Linked DNA regions of Arabidopsis thaliana. The protein of the gene in region 1 interacts with the protein of each later gene in a pairwise test. Each region holds a gene or a part of one and is shown on either strand. Other genes may lie near its edges.

Region 1 (5,184 bases):
GATGGAGGGAGAGATGGGGAAGACAACGATGAAGAATGTAAAAGAGTATGCGAAAATGGCGAAAAAAGCTATGGCTCAAGGGACTGGTTCGTCTTGGAAGAGTTTGGATTCGCTTCTGGAAGAGCTTTGTAAGAGTAGAGAGCCAGACGGTGTTAATAAGTTGTCAAGTTCTGATGCTTAGAGAGATTAAGGATTGGATAACAAAACGGCTTCGTACCTAATTTTAGTCATTAAATATGTTAGGTTTGTTGAAAAGTTGGTCCATTCTTCTCAATTGGATATGAATGACTAATTTGGAGTTCTAATTCTTGGTTTTGGTCTTATAGTTTCAAAAAATTTCAATTGCATTCAGTGGTTGCTTTATGAGATTTTTGCTATCTTTGAGGTTAATATTGGCTGGTCAATCCGAAGAAGCTATCAACACCTTAGTGTTCTTCTGAAAGACTTAAAAATGAGTTTGTATGCAAAAGTAGTATCTACTATGAGAAGAAATCAGACTATATAACATTGAGACAGTTTAAGAACAATGTATTTTTACTCTACACTCGTTTTCTATATCTAACATCCTCAAACCGAAACGAAAAGAAAAGAAAAATTACAAGTTGAAATAATTAAGGGAGTTTCCTAACTATTTACCATCTAAAACCAAACAGTTCACACAAAAGTTTTTTGCCCATAATGACTACACTTTAAACGTCTTCTTTATCTATAGAGAAATCAGGCTCATCTGGTTTGAATAGTTGAGGCATCTTCAAACTGGTGGAAGATCCATCTTTCTTACCAGTACTACTACTTGAAGCCTTTTGATTTGTTCCTCTTCTCGTGTTCGCCGCAAATTTAGATGCTAAGATCGTTGCTCCCAGATTTGTGTTGTCCATTGATCCGCCTTCCTCGTCACTTCCATAGTAATACTCTCTAGTTTCTTCGTCTTCTTCATTGTAACCTGTTTCATCCGGGTAATAGTATCCGCTACTCTCGTGAAGGCTGAGCTCTTTCGCAAGCTTTCTTCGCTTGTATCTTCTCCATGCAGATTGGACAAAACATGCTCCCCATGCTCTCCATTGATGTGAGTAGTACCTGAAAGCGTGTTGAAGCTTTTTGCTTTGAAGACGTTTGAACTGATGAGCAACAAACTTAAGATCCTCTGCGCTTAATGCAAAGGCTTCTACTTCAGAGAGGGCACGGACGCTTCGTGTTGAAGACGGAAGATTGAGTGTAGAGTTTGGCATTAAGGCCCATGTAAGAAGTTCTTCCCCACAGAAATCGCCAGGTCGTAGAGTAGTGGAGTTGAAGAAACCAGATCTTCCTCCATTTGTTGTTGAGCTCTCTATTTGTCCTCGGATCACAAATAGCATCTCATTCACCGGATCACCTTCACGGAATATGTATGTCCCGGCCGTGCTTAAAGATGAGACAAGGCATCCGCATATAGCATCAAGAAGTTGATCATCCATTTGAGAGAAGAACGGGACCTGCACTTACCACAACAATGTGACTTCTGAATTGAAAAACAATCAAATCCATAACAGTTTTTGATGACTGAGTTGATGTATGTACCCGGCGAACAAGGGAGAGACAAAGATGACGTTGGATTTCACGGCGTAAATCTGTAGGTAATGAATGGAGGATTGATTCTTCATCGACACCTCTGGTTGCAAGCCATTTGTATTGGACAAATCTTCGGACACGTTCTTGAAGCTCTGGAGGTAGTTGACGATGTCTCATCCATTCTTCAGTGTCTCTTCTCTTAACTCTCCATTCCTCAACTCTTACTGACATCGATTGCAGAGAAGACTTTCCACCAAATTAAAAATCATGAAGTCTATTGTTAGAAAGACAAAAAAATGTCTCTGTATTGAAAAGTTTTGCAGAGTGATGCATAAGCTCTGAATCTTACTTGCATGTTACCAATCAGGAGTGTGAAGAGAATCAACCCAAAAATACAAATTGTTATACAGAACAAGGTCTCGCCAAGGTATACACTTGTGGTTATATTCTGTCCATAAGAACTGTGAAACAAAACCTTTATTAAAACCAAAGGAGGACAATTTAAGCAGATACTGGTTAGATAAAAGGTTGTCATACCTTAGATTTCTTAAACCCCACCAAAGACAATACAAGTACTTGGACACAAAATCTGTTGTAGCAACTTGAGTGGTAAAGGCTTCAGCAAACATTCCGAATTTGAAATTGGTAGTGCTGCTTGTAGCATCACAATGAGAAAGGACCTGAGTAACGTTCTGCCAATACTGGCGCTCTGGTTGTTCTAAACTCTTGCAATCCAAGAAGCTAGGAAGACAATCCAAAACTCTCAAAGCGTTGTCTTTCTTGCATACGTTGGACCAGCACGAAAACTGCCGCCCGATTGATGACAGATACCACATTGCTCCTAACACCTGCCCACAAATAGAGATTCTTAGCAACTTAAAACTGAAGAAACCTAAAGATTTGAAAAAACACACAAGATAAAGAAAACTTACGTGACTAGCAAGGATGTACAATAGGAGGTTGTATGCAGCTCCTGCCCAAGCAGTCTTGGCGATAAACCCGGTTGTTTTGATAATCCTTTGGTTGAGTGGGAATATGATGAATGATCTTGGAATGTATTGAACAAGAACGATAAGTGCGAGAGTGCTATTGGCATGATTAGCAGTTCCATTTGTGGCCGCTGGAATTACTAGCCAAATAACAAGCTGAGATCAAAAGATAGTCAGAAACAAAGCATGAGGCTCCCAAAATATCTCTGTTCTTTAATCTTCTAGCTACCGCCTAACGATTTTTGAACATTGATCTTAGCTAATCGTAATCCATATCATTGCTTTCACATTCAAAATAAGAGCAAAATCTTAAGAACCTGAGGAAGGGGAAGCATGGCGGCGACATCAATGAGGAAATCTGTCTTCAAGTATCTCATAGCAATCTCTCTAGAATCCATAACAAGCTCACCGCGACCAAAAACACGAGAACTCCTCGCGACGAACGCAGTTCTGAATTTCATGAAAATGTGCAAGAGGTGGAAGATATCGGCGACTGTACGGAAGAAAGTGACAGTAGCGGCGAGGCTGATGTCGATGGAGAGACACGCCGGACCACCGACGTAAGGGACGTAGAAATAGAAAGGATCGAGGAAGAGAGCGAGGATTGAGGTAATGAGAAAGACGTGGTTCCAATAGGTGACGATGTTGCTGTCCGGGTCCAGGATCTGATGCCGCCATAGGACGCTGAATTGGCTACCGTCAGATCCTCGATTTGAGGCGGCGGTGGAGGCGGAGGTTATGGTCTCCGGGAGGAGGCAGCGGAGAGACCGGATTTTATTCATCTTCCATGGCGGATTCCGGTGTTAAATCGGATTCCGCATTAACACAGAGAGAGATTGAGATTGATGGACAGAGAGGCTAGGTGGTTGCGTCGTGTGATTTTTTGTTTTTTTGGGTTTTTGCATTTTGTTTTTGATGATTATGGAAGAAGGAGAGGATTTCTCGCGGGAAAACTGAGAGAAGGGCCATGGAAATAGGGGGAAGGGTAGTTTTTGAAAATATGATGGGAGAATGAGGGTATTTACGGAATGTTATAGTTGCGGGTCTCGTTTGTTTATGCTGTTTTTGTGTTCTCAAAACAGCACACGTTTTGCATCTCAAAACTTCAATCGACACAATATCTACTGTTCTTAGTTGTTGGACCCACCGGCCCAATAGTTATAGATCGGCCCAATAGTTATTTTTTTCTACTTTTTTTCTATGAAAATCAAAGGGATATATACTATATATGCTTTAGGATTTTAAAATTACACATTATAATGTATACAATTGCTATGATCATTTCTATTGATAAACTAATAATGTTTTTAGTAGTTTTAACTTAAAGTCCGGTTTAATATTGTTTAGTTCAATTGTTCAAAGAATAAAAAAAAAAATTATAATTAATTCGTAAAACCATGATAAGATTAGTTAAAATATCTAATTCGTTATGAGGTTCATTAGAATTTATTTAAGTGAATTATTGAAGTTTTATGAGCTACATTTATTATATTTTGTCAACACATTAAACCCGTAATTCAATTATACTGTCTTTTGTAGTATTTCCGTTTTTGACATCAGTTTAACAAATTGTCTTACATAATTCATTTGTTGTTGTTATGTACTATTAAAAGTATATAGAAGCACGCGTACCAAACATTCTGTGACAATATGTGGTAGTGGGAAGATAGTGTACATGCTTGTTGACACCATCCATAAGATAGTGTACCTATAAAATAACAAAAAGGGAATAGAAATCCTTAGAAACAATTATGCGAATATAAAAGGGATAATAAGAAGTGAGAATAATAAAATGAATACTGAAATTAAAAATTACGTCACGGAAAAATGATGTTTATCCACACAAAAAGAACAACAACTTCCATCATATCATATAGAGGGACATACTAACTTTTCCACTTCCAAAAAATCACACTTATGCGTAATTGTTTTCTCTAACAATAATGACGTATTTTAGTCCTTCAAATTTTAGTACTCCATCATTTTCCGATTAGACACAAAGTAGTAATTTCAATATAAAAAATTAATAACAAGCTTTTATAAATGATTATGATAACTTATACTAACATATGTGACAATATTGTTTTCTCTATGCTTGTTAAACGTAATTAAGAAACAATGATGTTAATTACTCCAACTAATTCATGGATCTAGAAATACGATGTTGGTTAAACATTATTATCGACTAATTTATTACTTCGTTAATGGCTGCTATTAAGTATGACCACGTGTGGCAGATTTGAGATGTTTAGCGATCTTTAAATATAGAATCCGACGGGATCCAATTCTCCTCTTTTTTTTTTATTCCACTTTGCCACTGTGATTATATAATAAGTATGATTAATTAAGAGATTTACATTCTATTGATTTACTTTATTATTTTATTCATGTGGAGTAGACTATACGACAACTACTTTATCGTTACTTTTTAATTTTATTTTTTAGTGAAAATTTGCTAGTCAAGTTTAGAAAATTCAAAATAGCATTTCACTTTTATATGCACGATTGATTTCGTTGCTTATATTAAGATAAGGAAAACAAATGTTACTCTTCCTAAAAAAATTGTTCTTTGAGAATACAATTTACGTGTTCCTCTTTTCAATAAAGTCGCTGGTGTTTATGAAACACACATTAGAAAGAAAAAAAA
Region 2 (5,235 bases), on another chromosome or scaffold:
CTACATCGTCGATCTCTGGTCTCAATGGTAGAGATCTGTGAATTCTCATGATTTCTTCCACAACCATCTCCTTCGAATCCATTTTCTACAAAATCAAAATTCACCCTCAAAGTGAGAGATGAGAAAGGAGAAGGAAGAAGAAGAAGAAGATATTCAAGTTTCCATATTTTGAATCGGATCTTGTTTTCTCTTTCTTCGTCTTCTCATTCTTTCTTCGTCACTTCCTTTCTTCTTCTTCTTCTTCTTCCTCGTCTCTTTCTCTCAAACTGCATTAAATAATTCAAAAATATTAGTCACTATCTATCTCTATCTCTCGCGTCCTTATCTGTTTAGCTTAATGATAATTTTGTTAATGTCAAGCATTGACGTAAACAATGATTAAGTATTTGATACGGATCACATATAATAAGGAGAAGAAGAAAACATGATCATGTCGTGTTAGGATTTTTCAAATCGAAATAAATCTATATTAATAATAACAATGATCATGTAGTGCGAGTTATTTAGTTTAGGACAAGTTATTAGATATCTATATTGGCTTAAACGTAGTAACACATTAAAGAAACACTTGTACGACAATAGTTTCCTGACTAAGTTAGTAAACAGCATCGTTTCATTTGAACTATGAAGTAACAACAGAAGAAACTAAAGCAGCTAAGAGTTGTGGAATTGCATCTCCTGTTGTTGAATCCTGTCAATAGCATCCTCTGCTCCAGCTTCAAGATCAGACATTTCGTCTTCTTCATCTTCTTGTTTGTAGTATATGATGTTAGAAGAGTGACCAGTGGTCTTGGAACGGTGAAGAGTGGTTGCAGAGGAAGAGGAAGAGAGGCTGAAACTCTCTGAAACACCAAGTGTCTTGCTCGGGAGCTTCCTCGCTTTACCTTTCTTCAATTTGATGTCTTTGTGCCACTTCTTCAATGCCTTTGCCATTTGCTCATCAAACACTGCTTTCTTCATGTGTGAACCCATCTGCTCCACACACCATTTCATCATCTCTCTATTTTCTTTCCTTCAATAGACCATTCGACTAAAATATCGATCGAAAACTGTTGTTTACAAGTTAATTACCTGAGTAACGAGGGCGTACAATGGGAGAGTGATGTAGCTGCATAAGATCAAAGCTCCTAGGCTGCACATACATACATACATACATCCTCACATGTTTTTAAATACTTTTCCTCTATAATATAAGTAAGTTTATGAATAAGCTTTTTACCATAGAAAGAGTTTGCTGACTACAAGATTGAAATCTTTATGGAAGCATGATTTTAATCCAAAAGAATACTGCAAATGCCAGTAATAGATGTTACTCAGTAACATCATTCTATAACACCAAAGTAAGAATAGATGTTTCTTTACCCATATCCAGAAGAAGTGTGTTATCTGGAAAGCATTCTGCATAACACAGAGGAAATAAATTTACCGGTTAGAGAGAGAAACATTACTAGAAGAAGACAGAATCTGCGAAAACATGTTAGTTCAAGAATGAAATCAAGGAGAAGATGTTTTCATAATTACCTGAAACAAGGCAAAGTGGATAAGATGAAGAAGTAGTTGAGGACAGTCGAACCAAAAGTATCGATCTGAACCTTGCACTAAAGGCATCCCCTGAACTACTGCATGTGTCTCTACGATTTCTAGCGCCATTGTTGCCATAATTGCTTGAAGCTTTGTTCCAACAGCTAGGATTATCTGCAAAAATACTTATTGTTCATCAAGAAACTTTCAAGAAGATGTATTAGAGGGAGAGATTGTCTTACGAGTAGAGGAGGTATCGATGCCCAAAACAATGTTCTCCAGCCTAGAATTGAATAGAAAGACTTCAGTATGTGAATTGAATTTAAATTTAAAGATATAAATTTAGCTCACCATTAACATTGAACAGCAAGAAGATTACAAATGATGCCCAAAGAACTGGACTGCAGAGCAAAACAATTTGTTAAAACTGTTATATACGACCGGATTATGTAAGACCGGTTTCATTTGCATTTGATGATTTGATTGTGTTGTAACCTTATTCCAACTACCAACTTGAAATCATCCTCGAGAGATCTTTTGATATATCTCTGGAAGTTGAACTTTCTTCCTGGAGCTAAATGGGCCTGAATCAAAACATCACGAAAATCACATATCAAGATTGAGATAGAAGGAAATGGAGAGATGGAAGATTTAGAAAAAAAAACTCACAGAGATGAATCCATGGCGCAGAGTCAAGTAGTCGGTTCTTTCAACAGATACAAAGAACTGCCTAAAGAAGCATCCCTGTAACCAAAGAGCATATAATAAATCGAATGAAGATCATTTTGATCATTTGAAAGAGATGAAGAATGAGAGAAATGGTTTCTTTACGACGTAAAAGAAGAAAGGAGTTGTTGTCCAGAAACTTGTATGTTCTCTCACAAAAGAAGTCTCATGAGTGAGCCTAAGTCTTGAATGATCTGCACCACAGAACAGAAGTAAGTCTGTAAAAGAACAACACTTCAGTTCAGGGGTACAAAACAGAATCTGATGAACAAAGTACCAATAGAAAACTCATAGTCATTAGATAATGTCTCTTGCTCCCACTTTTTCCATCCACGAATCTGCCAAAAATCCAACAAAAAATGAAGCACTTATTCACTATATCAAACAAAGTTTTGATCAAAACTAGAATTTATGGTACCTTGAGCCTGCTAAGCATCATGGTGATTAAACTATATACGATATGAAAGATGGCCAAGAAGAACAACAAGATGTGAAGTTGGTGCAAGCCTTTCAATGTTATGAGTGGCTCAGATCCTTGTTTGCAATTAATAGATGTATCACCAGCAGCCAAAAGATGCCTGCTAAGAGATGATGGAGCAAGTTTCTGGAAAAGCACTGTGTCTTCAGATAAACAAGGTAACATAGAGAGAGCAGCTTTTCGAGGAACACAGATCTTGAGAATATATGGTTCTCCAAAAGTGAGTAATAAAGAAATGAATCCAAGGATCATCAGCTCTGTAGAATCAGTCACCATTTAAAAACCAAAACCAAAAAGATTTAAGAAAACCAAGGCTATATGCTCACTTACCAGCTTTGATTTTCTCTAAGGCTTCAAGGAGAGAGTTTTTATGCTTCTTCCATAGCCACTGAGAAGAAACAAATTCATATGTTTCAGACAATGAATGTTTGAACAAGAACACTCGTAAGAAAAGAAGAAGAAGAAGAAGAAAGCAGACGTTGGCGAGTCTTTGAAGACCCTTTTCAAGGAGATGGGAAATGAGGATGAGAAAGGTGCAGACGACGGCGACTGCCCAAGTAGGCGTCTGAGAAAGCTCTTTCCCACCAGAGGGAGCTCCGGTGGCTGTAGCTCCGCCATGGAACACTAGAAACCATAACAAAGATCTTCGACACCTGCTTCTTGTGATCATGAGTGAAGGAAATGAGAGGTGAGAAACATAGAAGATACTAACGTAGAGAATCAAACTTATGTTAGTGCTTCTTTAATTACTACGTGTATAACATAAGTTATAGTATTAGATAAAGAATTGGTTTTCGTTTGACTTATGAGATTAAAAGTATCATTTAAAACCACTGGTGTAGTACTTTGAGTGTTGACAAAATGAAAAGAACAGTGTAGTTTAGTTTTGTAACTCATCTCATTTAATCAATGAAAGTTACATTAGCAAAACCTAATTACACATATTAAGAACATTTGACTTGTACATATTTGCAAAAACACAAACTAGTGAAACTGCTAATCGTTCATGTTTTTGATTATTTGGACATTGTTGAAATATTGATAGTGGTGAAGAAGTAACCAATCTACATATATATTTTTGCAACCATTTTAGCAAATAAATTTTCTACTTGACACTTATTTATAATGGCATGCCATTGGCATTATTTTTTTTTCCCTTAATTATTTGATTTAATTTTTAATTCTTGATTTAATATATCAATCACATTATTCATTCAAATTTAATCCAAACAACAAACTTTAAATCAAATCCCTTAAAATTAGCTACACATGATTATTTAAATGATTATTAATATTATACTTTATTAAAAGGTAAATATTGTAATTATTTAAAGTTTATAAAACGTTTATAATATTTATAAAATACAAAACTATATGTTACATATAGAGAAATATTTTAAATGTGAAATCTATAAAAATCAAATAACTATTTGAAAGACACATTTTAAATTTATTTGAATTATAAATCTTTTAATAAAAATATTATTTAAACAAAAAATTAAAAAATAATGTTTAATTTCACCGAACAGGATTAGATGGTATGACAGGTTTAAAATATTAAAATATATGAACTTTATAAATTATAACAATTAAATAACCATTTAAAATAAAAAGTTTGAAATTGATTTGAATTATATATATTTAAAATTAAAGTATTATTAAAACAAAAATAATAAAATAATATTTAATTTTATTGAACGGGGTTAGATGGTAGGACGGGTTTGAGTTGATAGTAATATGAGACAGTATACCTAGGATGAAATCCATTAAATATGTTTAATTTCATTGAACGGAATAAGATGGTCAGACGGGTTTGAGTTTATAGTAATACGACACGTTATACAACGGGTGAAATCGTATAACTAACAATTAAAATACAATGATATAATTTAAAATATATGACAAAAGAAACAATCTTAACAAAAATCATATATAATTTTAAATTTTAAATTTTAAAAATCGACTTACGGTGTATTCCATGATAAAATCAAGGGATTGTACAATATATAGAAATTAGGATTATATATTTATAAAATACAAAACAATATGTTACATATAGATAATTTATAAAATAATATATTTTTAGTTACTTTTAATAAAATAAATAGTTCCGCGGTGTACCGCGGGTTAAAATCTAGTGTTTCGTATATTTCTTGAGCTCTAGAAACTCCAATCCATATATGCCACTTTTAATTGTGATTACATAATCAAATAAAAAGAGAATTAAAGTATGAAAAAGTCCTCTCACCTGAGGAACAAATCTTAAAAGATGAATTTGGTGGAAGCTGTGACAACTAAAGAGTTTACAACTTGGCACAAAATCCAACTGCAAACAAATGCAAATAACAAAATTCTATTCAGATTTGTCTGTATGAGATCAATCTGATCCTTTATTGGTTATAAAAATGGCAAAGCAAATAAGGTGGAGAGAGAGTGATTTTATCATGGATCCTTCTCCTACAGCTTCTTCAATCACTCTTACCCTCCTGAGATCCAATCTCTTGTAAGTA
Region 3 (4,678 bases), on another chromosome or scaffold:
AGTATTGGTAATCCTCTCCTTTCCATCAATTAAACTAAGACTTAAAAACCATGAAGTGATCAATATGTTTTGTTTAAGCACTTTCTGATCTCTGGAAACATTAATATGCATACTCTAGAGTCTAGAATTAGATGTGTAGTTAAAAATCGAACAATTCTTGGTTCACCTTTTCATTCACCTCTTTCAGCCAATTAGAATATGTCACCTAATAAATAAATAAACTCATTTAATTATAAAATCTATAATCTTAACCACTATTTCATAAACTCAAACCGATATATAATTTTGTTTAATTACAAAATTTAAACTCTAATTCTATTTTGTAAATCCAAACCGACATTTAAACTCGATTAATTGTAAAATCTAAACTTAAATCGTTCTTTCTAAAACTCAAACCGACATTTAACCTCATCTAATTGTAAAATCCAAACCCGTTTATAACTCTAAACCGACATTTAACCTCGTTTGATTCTAAAATCTAAAATCGTTTATAAACCTAAACTGGTATTTAACTTCGTTTAATCATAAAATTTAAACTTTAACCCTCTCTTATAAATCCAAACCGATATATGATTTTGTTTTGGTGAACTATTAGATTTTATAATTAAATAATTGTTATTGTTTTTTATTAGGTTGTAGATTCTCATTAGCTACAGTAAAAAGGGATGAATATAAAAATCATACTTTGTCCTTTACAAAAAATCACACCTTATAATAGATATGCCAAATCATGTTGGATTTAAAAATTATTCTACATAGCCATGATAATCTAACCTAATTATTGACTCTCTAAGGGCATCTCCATCCATGAGAAACCCACAAAGTTTCTCAAACAAAAAAAAATTAATATTATATTATAATTTGAATTTTTGATTAAAAAAATATTTTTGTTAAAAAGTTGAACCAATAGTGAGAAGCGAATTGTCATGATGGGTTGTAGAGAGTATCTCAAAGTTTCTGAGAATCTTTCTACACTCTCTCTCCTTCATTTTTATTATTTTTATTTTTTTAATTGTGAGAAACTCTTATGAGAAACCCCCAATAGAGATGGTTTTAGTTTGAATCTCAAGTCCGTCACGATCACCACGAGGACCCCCACCACCAAAAAGCTTCTCCATCTCCTCCAATGGCAATCCTTTCGTCTCCGGCAACATAAAGAAGAAGAACCACCATGCCGCCACCGCTATTCCGGCGAATACGAAGAACACGCCCCCTGTCGTGATCGCCTTCGTCATCGACAGAAAACTCATTGAGACCGTCGCGTTCATGATCCTATTAACCGCAACACCTATACTCGCTCCCTGAGCCCTAAGTCTCAACGGGAATATCTCGGAGCTGTACACCCATGTGATAGGTCCAAGCCCTATGGAGAAAAAAGCTACAAATGCATACGTAGAGACGATGCTTAAACTCAATGCCCACGCTAACCGCCCAAATCGCTGAACCATCGTGAGACTAACCGCTAAACTGGTCAATGCGAAGACCATCCCACCCGTACTGGTCAACAGGAGCTTTCTACGACCTACCTTGTCGAGCAAGAAAGTGGCTATTATTATGAAAAAGGCCTTAGTTAAACCTACACCGACCGTGGCTAGTAAGAGCTTGTCTTTCGAAACAACTCCGGCTTTCTTGAAAATTCTCGGGCTGTACAACACGACGGCCTCAATCCCCGTCGCATGCTCGAAAAAGTGTATCCCAACGGCCGCTATCAAGATCAAACGCACCGCAGGTCGCGGTTTTATCACCAACTCCCTCCAAACACTTTTACCGTGATTCTTCTTCTTAACGCCGCCACCAACTTCTTTTATCTCTGTCACATCTACTTCCGCAGCGGTTAAGATGTCTCTGAACCGTTCTTCAGCTTCTTCTTCCGTATTGGATACCAAAACCATTATTTTCTTGGCTTCTTCTAACCTACCTTGCATCACAAGCCACCTCGGCGACTCGGGCATTCTTGTAATCCCAAAAGCCAATATCAAAGACGGGAACGCTGCGATTCCAAGCATCAATCTCCATCCAAGTTTCAACGTCAGTTTCCCAAAACAGTAATTCGAGACATAGCCTAGTAAAATCCCAAGACTAATACAAAGCTCAGGTAGAGAAGTGAGAAAGCCTCTATGTGACGCAGAGGATATCTCGGCAGAGTAAACCGGAGCTATCATGAGAGCAAACCCTACACCAACTCCGGCAATACATCGTCCGACCATCAAAACAGGATAGTTTGGGCCGTAACCCATAAGAACTGAGCCCACTAAGAATATCACGGCGGAGAGAGCTATGGTGTAACGTCGGCCGATGACGTCAGACGTTTTCCCCGCCGTTAGTGATCCGACGAGTGCACAAAGATTCAAGATTCCGGCCAAAACTTCAATCTGAGTGTCGTTTATTTTTAGATCATCTCTTATAAATATCTGAGCTCCGCTCATAACTCCCGTATCTAAGGACAACACACCATTACAAAAAAAAAAATATTCGTTAATATAAAATCATTAATATAATTCCATTGAATATATCTTTATATGATATATGTAGAAAACTTTTGTTTGATATGTAGAGAATGTTAGTATGTTACCATATCCAAAGATGATAGAAATGATGGAAGCAACAATGGCACACCCGAAAGCGAACTTGTTCATATGAGGGTTTGGATCCGAACCGGGAAAATTATGACCATCAGCATGAACCATGTTGAGTCTTTTTCTTCTCTTTTTTTTTTTTTGGGTTAAATTTTAGAATAACTTGTTATATCGATTGTGTGCATTTACTAGTATATATATACACATAACTATATATGTCCACCACTTGCATCCATAGTGGAACAATGACGATCAAAAACTTCTACTGTTGTTCCACAGTGTTTGTGGGTGCCCACGTATTCTGGTACGAGAATTATATTTCTGCAAGATATGAATTTTCCTCAAGATTTAGACGTATACAACCTGAGAAGTATATCGAGCAAAATAAATTGAAAAGATTTCCAACAAAAAAAAAAAGTAGTGTAATCAGGCAAGTGTTTTAAGTTTTAACCAATACATACGTAAGTTAAAATAATAATTAAAAGGTTACAATGAGTTTAAAAAATGGTTTCGCACACGGTCTTCAAATAATTTGTGACGACCTTCGTTGAACTTGAACTTGGTCTTCTTGTTTTCAATTTTTATTATTTTTTAATAAAGGAAGTGAAGATTTTTATTAGATGCTATGTTACATGTAAACCCGATTATTGTAGTTTTGCAATTGCATGTTACGTATAAAGTTGTTCTCGTGAGTGGAATGCATGAAAAATTGTATGTCGTAAACTATTTATGAAACTCTAAAGCAAAAAGTTTCCGTTGTGAAGTCATATGTATGAGAATTCAGAATTGATCATTCATTATAGTAACATATGCTAGAAGAAGTTATATCCACCATTTTTAAATGGTAGGTCATCAATTTTAATACGATATGACCAAAAATATTGCTAATATTGTAAGTTAAAAGTCGCCATCTTCTTCACTTTCGGCATTTTCCTGATCTATGTTCAATAGTGGCGTAACCTTTAAAGATTCTTTTCCACATTTATATAATTTGGTGAACTAAATTTATACGGTGCATTTATTTTCAGTTGGTTTCTTTTTCTTATTGAAGTGATGAAGTCCAAAATTAAACTTGTTTTGACGAAACAAAAAAACTTGTATCCAACAAAAAGCCGTTGTTCTCAACAGACGAATAATACTATCAGACTATATGTATCATTACATAATGAAATTGATATCTGTTGGGAAAAAACTGATGTGTGATTTGATCAATAAATCAGAACATCATAAGTCATAACGTAACCTATAGCTCTGTTTGTATGTGCAAGATAAACAAAAATGTTTTTGGGTTCCAACTAATGTTCATTTTAGCATGATCGATGGAAAATTCTGAAATTGCCAATTCTATCATTTATATTTTTGTCATATGCTTTGTCAGTTTGGCTGGCCTAGAGTTTTACGTCCAATTAGTCTGTTGAGAACTGTATTTTTGTTTTTCTTACTCGTACGTTGTTGGAATTCTGAAACAAGATGTTATTACGCCTCCAGTATTAAATCAATATTTTACCCCGCTAATTATAACATTATATATCTTGGTGGACTACGTCCAATTTATGTTTAGTCTTTTTTACATTCGCTACTAATAAATTGGTATCATAACTTCGAATTTTCAACATGCTTTTGTAATCTGGTAAGCATACATTTGTAAAATTGTAATGAACATAAGAAGCAATATTGGTGTATTAGAGAGACAATAACTTATTTCAAACTTCTAGTTTTTCTAAATAATTCTTAGTGTATACGTTTTATAGATCTCTAAATCTGTTAGAAGTAAAGGTTTACACATTTAATGGATATACGATATATATATTATTAAAAAAGAAGAAGTAAATCTGGATAATCATCTAGCTAGTATCTATATATATAGTTGGCAAAAACGCTAACCTTTGGGATTTGTATACGTAAATTATGCAAATGCACAAAATCCATGTAAATAGTAAAGTTTTGATATGATTCCTTGAAAGTTATATTTTGGTGAGCTGAAAAAGAAAGATACGTGACGAAAAAGTAGTATTTGATTTGTTTTCTTGAAGAGCATATACCATAATGAGTAACTTACTCAAACAAGTAAATGGCATGCGTTTTTTTCTTTTCACTTTTAA
Region 4 (5,322 bases), on another chromosome or scaffold:
AATGAAATATTTTTATGAGTTTAAATGCTTTTTTAAAAACTGATTTTCATTTTTTTTGGATTTTGACCCCCAAAAAGGTTTCATTTTCGATAGTACCTAATAATAATATGAAGTTGTTAGTCAAATGTAACCATCTCGCAAACTCAACCCAAATGTCAGTTTTCGGGTAGACATGGTACTATGATAGTGAGTTTGTTCCAACTTAATTATTACGAGCTATATCGATATATCGCTTATGTTGTTGTTGTTGTCTACCTTGTTCCTTAATTACGTCATATGAAAACTAGTTCAAATCATGAACTAACAAGAGCAGTGTATTAAGTACTAGTTTCATTTAAATGATCTTTTAGAGTTTTCTATGACTATTGCATCTTTAAGTTTTTTTTCTAATATATGTTTACTTCTCTGATTGTTTTTATTCAATGATGATATCGCGATGAATTACTATTTCATCTTTATTTTTGTTTTGTTTGTGATACATCTATCAAAATTTGTAACCAATTTTGGTTTTATTTAAAAATGATCTAACTAAACGAATAATCATATGTGATTGATCAGTTATTTGACTTTACCAAGCACCAACCATTGAATCAATTGGTGTAAAAAGTCTGCCTAATTATGTACTAACAACACTGACACAGAGCCTGCCATTGCCTTTTGCTTCTTTTATAAAGATACGCCTTTCATTTCCCTTTTTGTGATGTGATGCTAATTTGCCCATGATGGATTCAGATCGGGATCACTCACATTCAGAAGAAAAAAAGTTAATTTAGATCAATATTTGATTGCTTCAAAGATAATCTAATGTATTCTAAAATAAAACTCTCATAATCTTACCCACATAAATTTATTTTACTATAGAGTATAGATGCACGAGGTTGTATGATTTTAAATCATGTATTTCCATATCATTTCATTTGGACTGATCGCAGAATTTATAGTCAATTTTCATCAAAAACTCAGTGCACTTCAAATGACGATGAAATTAAATCTCAGTAAAAGAGAATAACGAGATCATTAAACACAAAACACACATGAAACTTTCTTGAGCTATAGAAGAACACTAAATAATAATAGGGTTGGCCTAAGATAGCCATCACACCTTAACTAAGGAACAAAAAAAACCCAATTTACCAAAAATAACTCAACATAACAAATTAAACAAACCCGAGGTAAAAGATTATTGTCGTCAAACAATTACAAAGAGATGTGATTTTTAATAAATACTAAAAAAAAATTGGATGTAGTAACTTATATATATTAGATCTCGAAATCAAAACCCCCTTATATGAAACTCTCTTTCTAGAAGGTCTTGAATGGCAAATTTGTATATCATGGCTTGTGAGGAGGGCATTGGTAGCATTTGGTAAAGAGACCAAAAGTGTCGATCTGGCGAACAAAGTTGACCATACTTGCCCATCCTCCAAACCCGAACCCAACTACGAATACCCAAACCACCACAAATATGTTTATGCAGTAAGTCCCCATCCATCCTCCTACCACTCTCGGTGGCCTCTCCACCGCATTCTATTTACGATATATCAAACTTAACAAAAATTAGATATACCAAAATATTATTTTAGCTATTTTTACATAATCTATGATACTATATAATAATTTTAATATAAACTAATAATATACTATTTCCAATTATTCTTTGTAAACTTATACTAAAATTGTAACAAGCTTTTTATGAAACAATTATAATTTTAAAATAGATATTTTGGAAGTTGGAAATCTAACCTCTCTTGAAGGAGCAGGAGCAAAGGTAAGCATATGAGCCAATGCGGGGATGATGTAGACAGTGAAGCTAACTAAGAGAGATCCGACCGCGGAATTGATTGGTCCGAAAAAGGGGAAGATAATGGCTAAGAACCATATGGGTACAACCACGGGTAATCTAGCCATGGCTCTTTTGAACATGCTCTTCGTCTCATGCACACCTATCAATTTCTCCCACACAAAATATAACGGTGTAGACGCGAATCCGAACGTTATAAATTGATGAATGAGCATGAGGATCACTGCGGTATCTCTAAAACCAGTCTTAGGGAGAAGAGAGAGCGCATTGGAATGAGTTAGTAGCTTATCGCCAAACGCCCAATAAACCGCAGACGCGGATGGTAGCGTTAGCGTTAGTACATATATGGTCGCTAGTAGATATATCGCCTTGAACTTTTGCGGTTTCCACATAGCGTGCATTATCTCCCTATTATATTTTTTCAAATTTCCAATACATAATTAGTTAAGCCATTAATTAAGCCATTTTATTTTTCCAAACAAAAAAAAAATACTTACACTGTGACGGCGTGGCCACCAAAGGTGTAGAGAATGTTGGTGGCTCCGGTGAAGTAAAGCACCATTGTGGTTGGACCAGAGTGTTTCACATCCTCAGCCTTTTTTATATGAAAAATAAATATATTAAACAACAATAACCAGGACTATATGTCTATATCTTATAATAATCAAAACAAGATTTGTGTTAATTATAATGACCTGGCCATGAAGGAGTGAAGCAATGGTGAGATACCAAGAAGTGTAAGTGGTCATAGCGAGTCCGAGGAATGACCAAATTCTATAATTGTGGAAGGAAGGAATAAAAACAGTTGTTGCACAGCACGCCCCAAATATGTATGTCCATGTCCTCTTGTCCAATTTGTCATTAATATAATATATATTGCTGCAAATCATTTTTTATATTAATTAATTTTCAATATGAAAAAACCATATAATAAAGAAAATGAACATTGATTATTAATTTACCTAGCACAAGCAATGAGCTGAATAACAGATCCAAAGAGAAGAAAAGTGCAGTTAAAGATCAATCCAAGGTTCCTCCAATGTTTCCCCAACAATCCATCTAACACCTCAAACCACTTTTTTACACAAACAAAAAAAAACAAAAAGTTAAAATTCAATAATACCACCAAAAAAATAAAAAATTATAACGAGTCACAAGAATTAGAGGTGGAATAAAACCTGAATAACGTGGTTACGGAAATCGAATTTTTCTCGTTCTTTACGAGTTCGATATTCAACGTAAAGAACACTAATGAGATAAGCAGTCCAACTTCCCATTAATCCATAAAAGAGTTGAAACAAAATTCCCGACATCATCCCAAGTTGTGAGAACGAGTATGGTAATGTCAACAGAACTTGTGCCACCTGCCATTTTTATAACAATTTAGCTATAGAAGACGATACATACACATCTATATATAAGACTAAATCTGTGGGAAGTACATACCTGATTTGAAGCACAACTAAACCAAGCATCGTAGACAGAACCACCATGCCAGAAGAAATTAGAGAGTTTTGTTTTAGTTGAAGATTTCTTGTTACCACTTATGTTTTCTTCTTCCCTCTCCATTTCTAAGTAATTCCCTGCGACCACTGTCTCTATTTTCTCTGCCGCCATTTTTCTCTTCTTCTCTCAGTTTCTTTAGCTTCTTTACTTCCACTCTTTAAATAGACTAGTGAAAAGCTTTTTCATTTATTTATTTGTTTTATGGGTTTTGTTTCCTTTCTTTTGCTCTGTGTGCAATTATTGAGTAACGAGTGTCGGGGGACGAAGTCTTTAGTCACAGCTCACGAGTTGTCATGGGGATATCGGTTTATGATTGGTTGGTGACTGAGTTATGTCACCTACTTGTGACTGTTACTGTTTTCGGCGAGCGTGGCGTTGTTTTTTTAATGGGCTTGATTTGATTGTTGGGCTTATGGGCCATATTTCTGGAGCATTACACGAACGGGTAGGCCCGGTTTGAGATTGTTAATTATATATTGACCCCGATAATATGCAAAAAAAGAGGGTTAGCTAATTATAGATTTTAAAGTTTAAAGTAGTGAGAGTAGACTAATTGTAAATTGAAAATAGAAGTGATGACAATGATGTTTTTTTTTTTTGAAAGAAAGGCTAAACTATTATTATCATTAACAATTATTTGAATCATGATGATTGTAACAACTAGAAACAATGAATAAAACATATTGGTCCTTTCCTCCTTCTTGTGATGAGGATGATAACGATCTTTATGTAGAATAATCAATTATATTTCTAAGTTTTTATGTTTTGTCCGATTATATTACATAGCTGTTACCTGGAACTCGAAATTACATAAATTTATGCCTTTGTCTACCATATGGCATCGCACATCCAAACGCTTGATTTAGAAGTAGAAAAACTTGGTTAAAAGAGAGGAAGAAATAGTGATTTGTGAGGTAATCGAGGATTGGAGATGGATCCAATGGAAAGAATGATTGCTAATCAGGTGGGATTAGTGGTAAACATAATTACCACACGTGTCTAGCTGTCTAAGCTTTATTTAACTCACTAATTTCTTAGAAATGTCTCCTTTTTAGCCCCATACTTTTACAATGGATCGAATTATTAATGAGAAGGTATCATCATTTTAGATCTTTATAGCTTTTTAACCCGGCCAAAATGGATGGCAGCGGAAAGAAGACTCATCGCCAATTGACATTAAAATATGCATTTTCAAATGTTTTTTTTTTTTTTTTTTTTTTTGTGATTCAACCTTATTTAGGCTATTGAGATATCTCCAAAAGATATAATATTGTCGTCCCTAAATAGAGCAGATATTCAGATATCATTGGTAATAATACTGAAAAAATGGCGAGTCATTGTAGTTAAATAATTTGACATCTTGAAACCAGGAACTCGATTCTACTGGATGGTTACAGATGGTTCCCATAACGACAAAGATTGTGAGATTTGTTTTGATTTTCATCAATTTATCTTCGTCAGAAAATCTGTTTAACCAAAAAAAGGATCATGACTATACAAATTTATTAATGGTGTAATATTCAAAAAGCAGAATATAAGAATGGACCGAACAATTGAGATTGAGTTCGACATAAATGGGCCATATGATTCATTAATTAGGCCTAATATATCAGTAGGTAGATGAATTGACCCATGACATGAAGGCTAAAATAATCAATATCAACAAGATTATCCAAATTCAATAATAGAAGATACAAATAGACAGATAAAAAGCCACATACAGTATAGATCCTTGGCCATTTGGACTTTGATTACCTTAACAGCATCCCAAAGAATACTTGCATGAAACATCAGGAAACGAATAACACTAACTAACTCTTTCCCATATTCCAAAACAAGGAACCTTAATTATTTGAAAACACATATAGTACTACAACCGATTATTATAATTGTACCGATAGACTCTCCATGCAAGTTATTCTTTCTTCCTCCCTTAAAAAGCCAGTCTCACTTCAAGATCAGAAAATAACATTACATTTGATCCTAAAATATTTTCTAGTAAAGATGCCAATTCG

What was found.
Region 2: the proteins of CNGC18 (region 1) and MLO7 interact in a protein complementation assay, tested with the Arabidopsis thaliana proteins (one large-scale study listed by BioGRID).
Region 3: the proteins of CNGC18 (region 1) and AT2G18480 interact in a protein complementation assay, tested with the Arabidopsis thaliana proteins (one large-scale study listed by BioGRID).
Region 4: the proteins of CNGC18 (region 1) and LAX3 interact in a protein complementation assay, tested with the Arabidopsis thaliana proteins (one large-scale study listed by BioGRID).

What each region holds. Positions count from the first base shown.
Region 1 is NC_003076.8:4,807,579-4,812,762, forward strand, and holds CNGC18 (cyclic nucleotide-gated channel 18), read right to left. Parts: upstream 3,516-5,184; 5' UTR 3,320-3,515; coding exon 2,855-3,319; intron 2,694-2,854; coding exon 2,481-2,693; intron 2,397-2,480; coding exon 2,086-2,396; intron 2,010-2,085; coding exon 1,898-2,009; intron 1,795-1,897; coding exon 1,558-1,794; intron 1,473-1,557; coding exon 690-1,472; 3' UTR 513-689; downstream 1-512. Other genes in the region: AT5G14860 (UDP-Glycosyltransferase superfamily protein), read left to right, coding at 1-181. UniProt on the Arabidopsis thaliana protein: Cyclic nucleotide-gated ion channel required for directional pollen tube growth into the transmitting tract. Acts as a Ca(2+)-permeable divalent cation-selective channel inhibited by either lanthanum or gadolinium.
Region 2 is NC_003071.7:7,566,178-7,571,412, reverse strand, and holds MLO7 (Seven transmembrane MLO family protein), read right to left. Parts: upstream 3,396-5,235; coding exon 3,204-3,395; intron 3,114-3,203; coding exon 3,056-3,113; intron 2,983-3,055; coding exon 2,666-2,982; intron 2,586-2,665; coding exon 2,525-2,585; intron 2,442-2,524; coding exon 2,353-2,441; intron 2,266-2,352; coding exon 2,191-2,265; intron 2,106-2,190; coding exon 2,017-2,105; intron 1,923-2,016; coding exon 1,873-1,922; intron 1,805-1,872; coding exon 1,764-1,804; intron 1,696-1,763; coding exon 1,522-1,695; intron 1,399-1,521; coding exon 1,363-1,398; intron 1,288-1,362; coding exon 1,220-1,287; intron 1,133-1,219; coding exon 1,072-1,132; intron 973-1,071; coding exon 655-972; 3' UTR 501-654; downstream 1-500. Other genes in the region: PIRL5 (plant intracellular ras group-related LRR 5), read right to left, coding at 1-82; NTRA (NADPH-dependent thioredoxin reductase A), read right to left, coding at 5,194-5,235.
Region 3 is NC_003071.7:8,008,557-8,013,234, forward strand, and holds AT2G18480 (Major facilitator superfamily protein), read right to left. Parts: upstream 2,722-4,678; 5' UTR 2,688-2,721; coding exon 2,573-2,687; intron 2,438-2,572; coding exon 1,026-2,437; 3' UTR 545-1,025; downstream 1-544. UniProt on the Arabidopsis thaliana protein: Plasma membrane sugar-proton symporter.
Region 4 is NC_003070.9:29,199,900-29,205,221, forward strand, and holds LAX3 (uncharacterized protein), read right to left. Parts: upstream 3,520-5,322; 5' UTR 3,419-3,519; coding exon 3,248-3,418; intron 3,166-3,247; coding exon 2,980-3,165; intron 2,877-2,979; coding exon 2,764-2,876; intron 2,681-2,763; coding exon 2,497-2,680; intron 2,397-2,496; coding exon 2,299-2,396; intron 2,210-2,298; coding exon 1,744-2,209; intron 1,528-1,743; coding exon 1,333-1,527; 3' UTR 518-1,332; downstream 1-517. Other genes in the region: AT1G77700 (Pathogenesis-related thaumatin superfamily protein), read left to right, coding at 4,848-4,923, 5,249-5,322. UniProt on the Arabidopsis thaliana protein: Carrier protein involved in proton-driven auxin influx.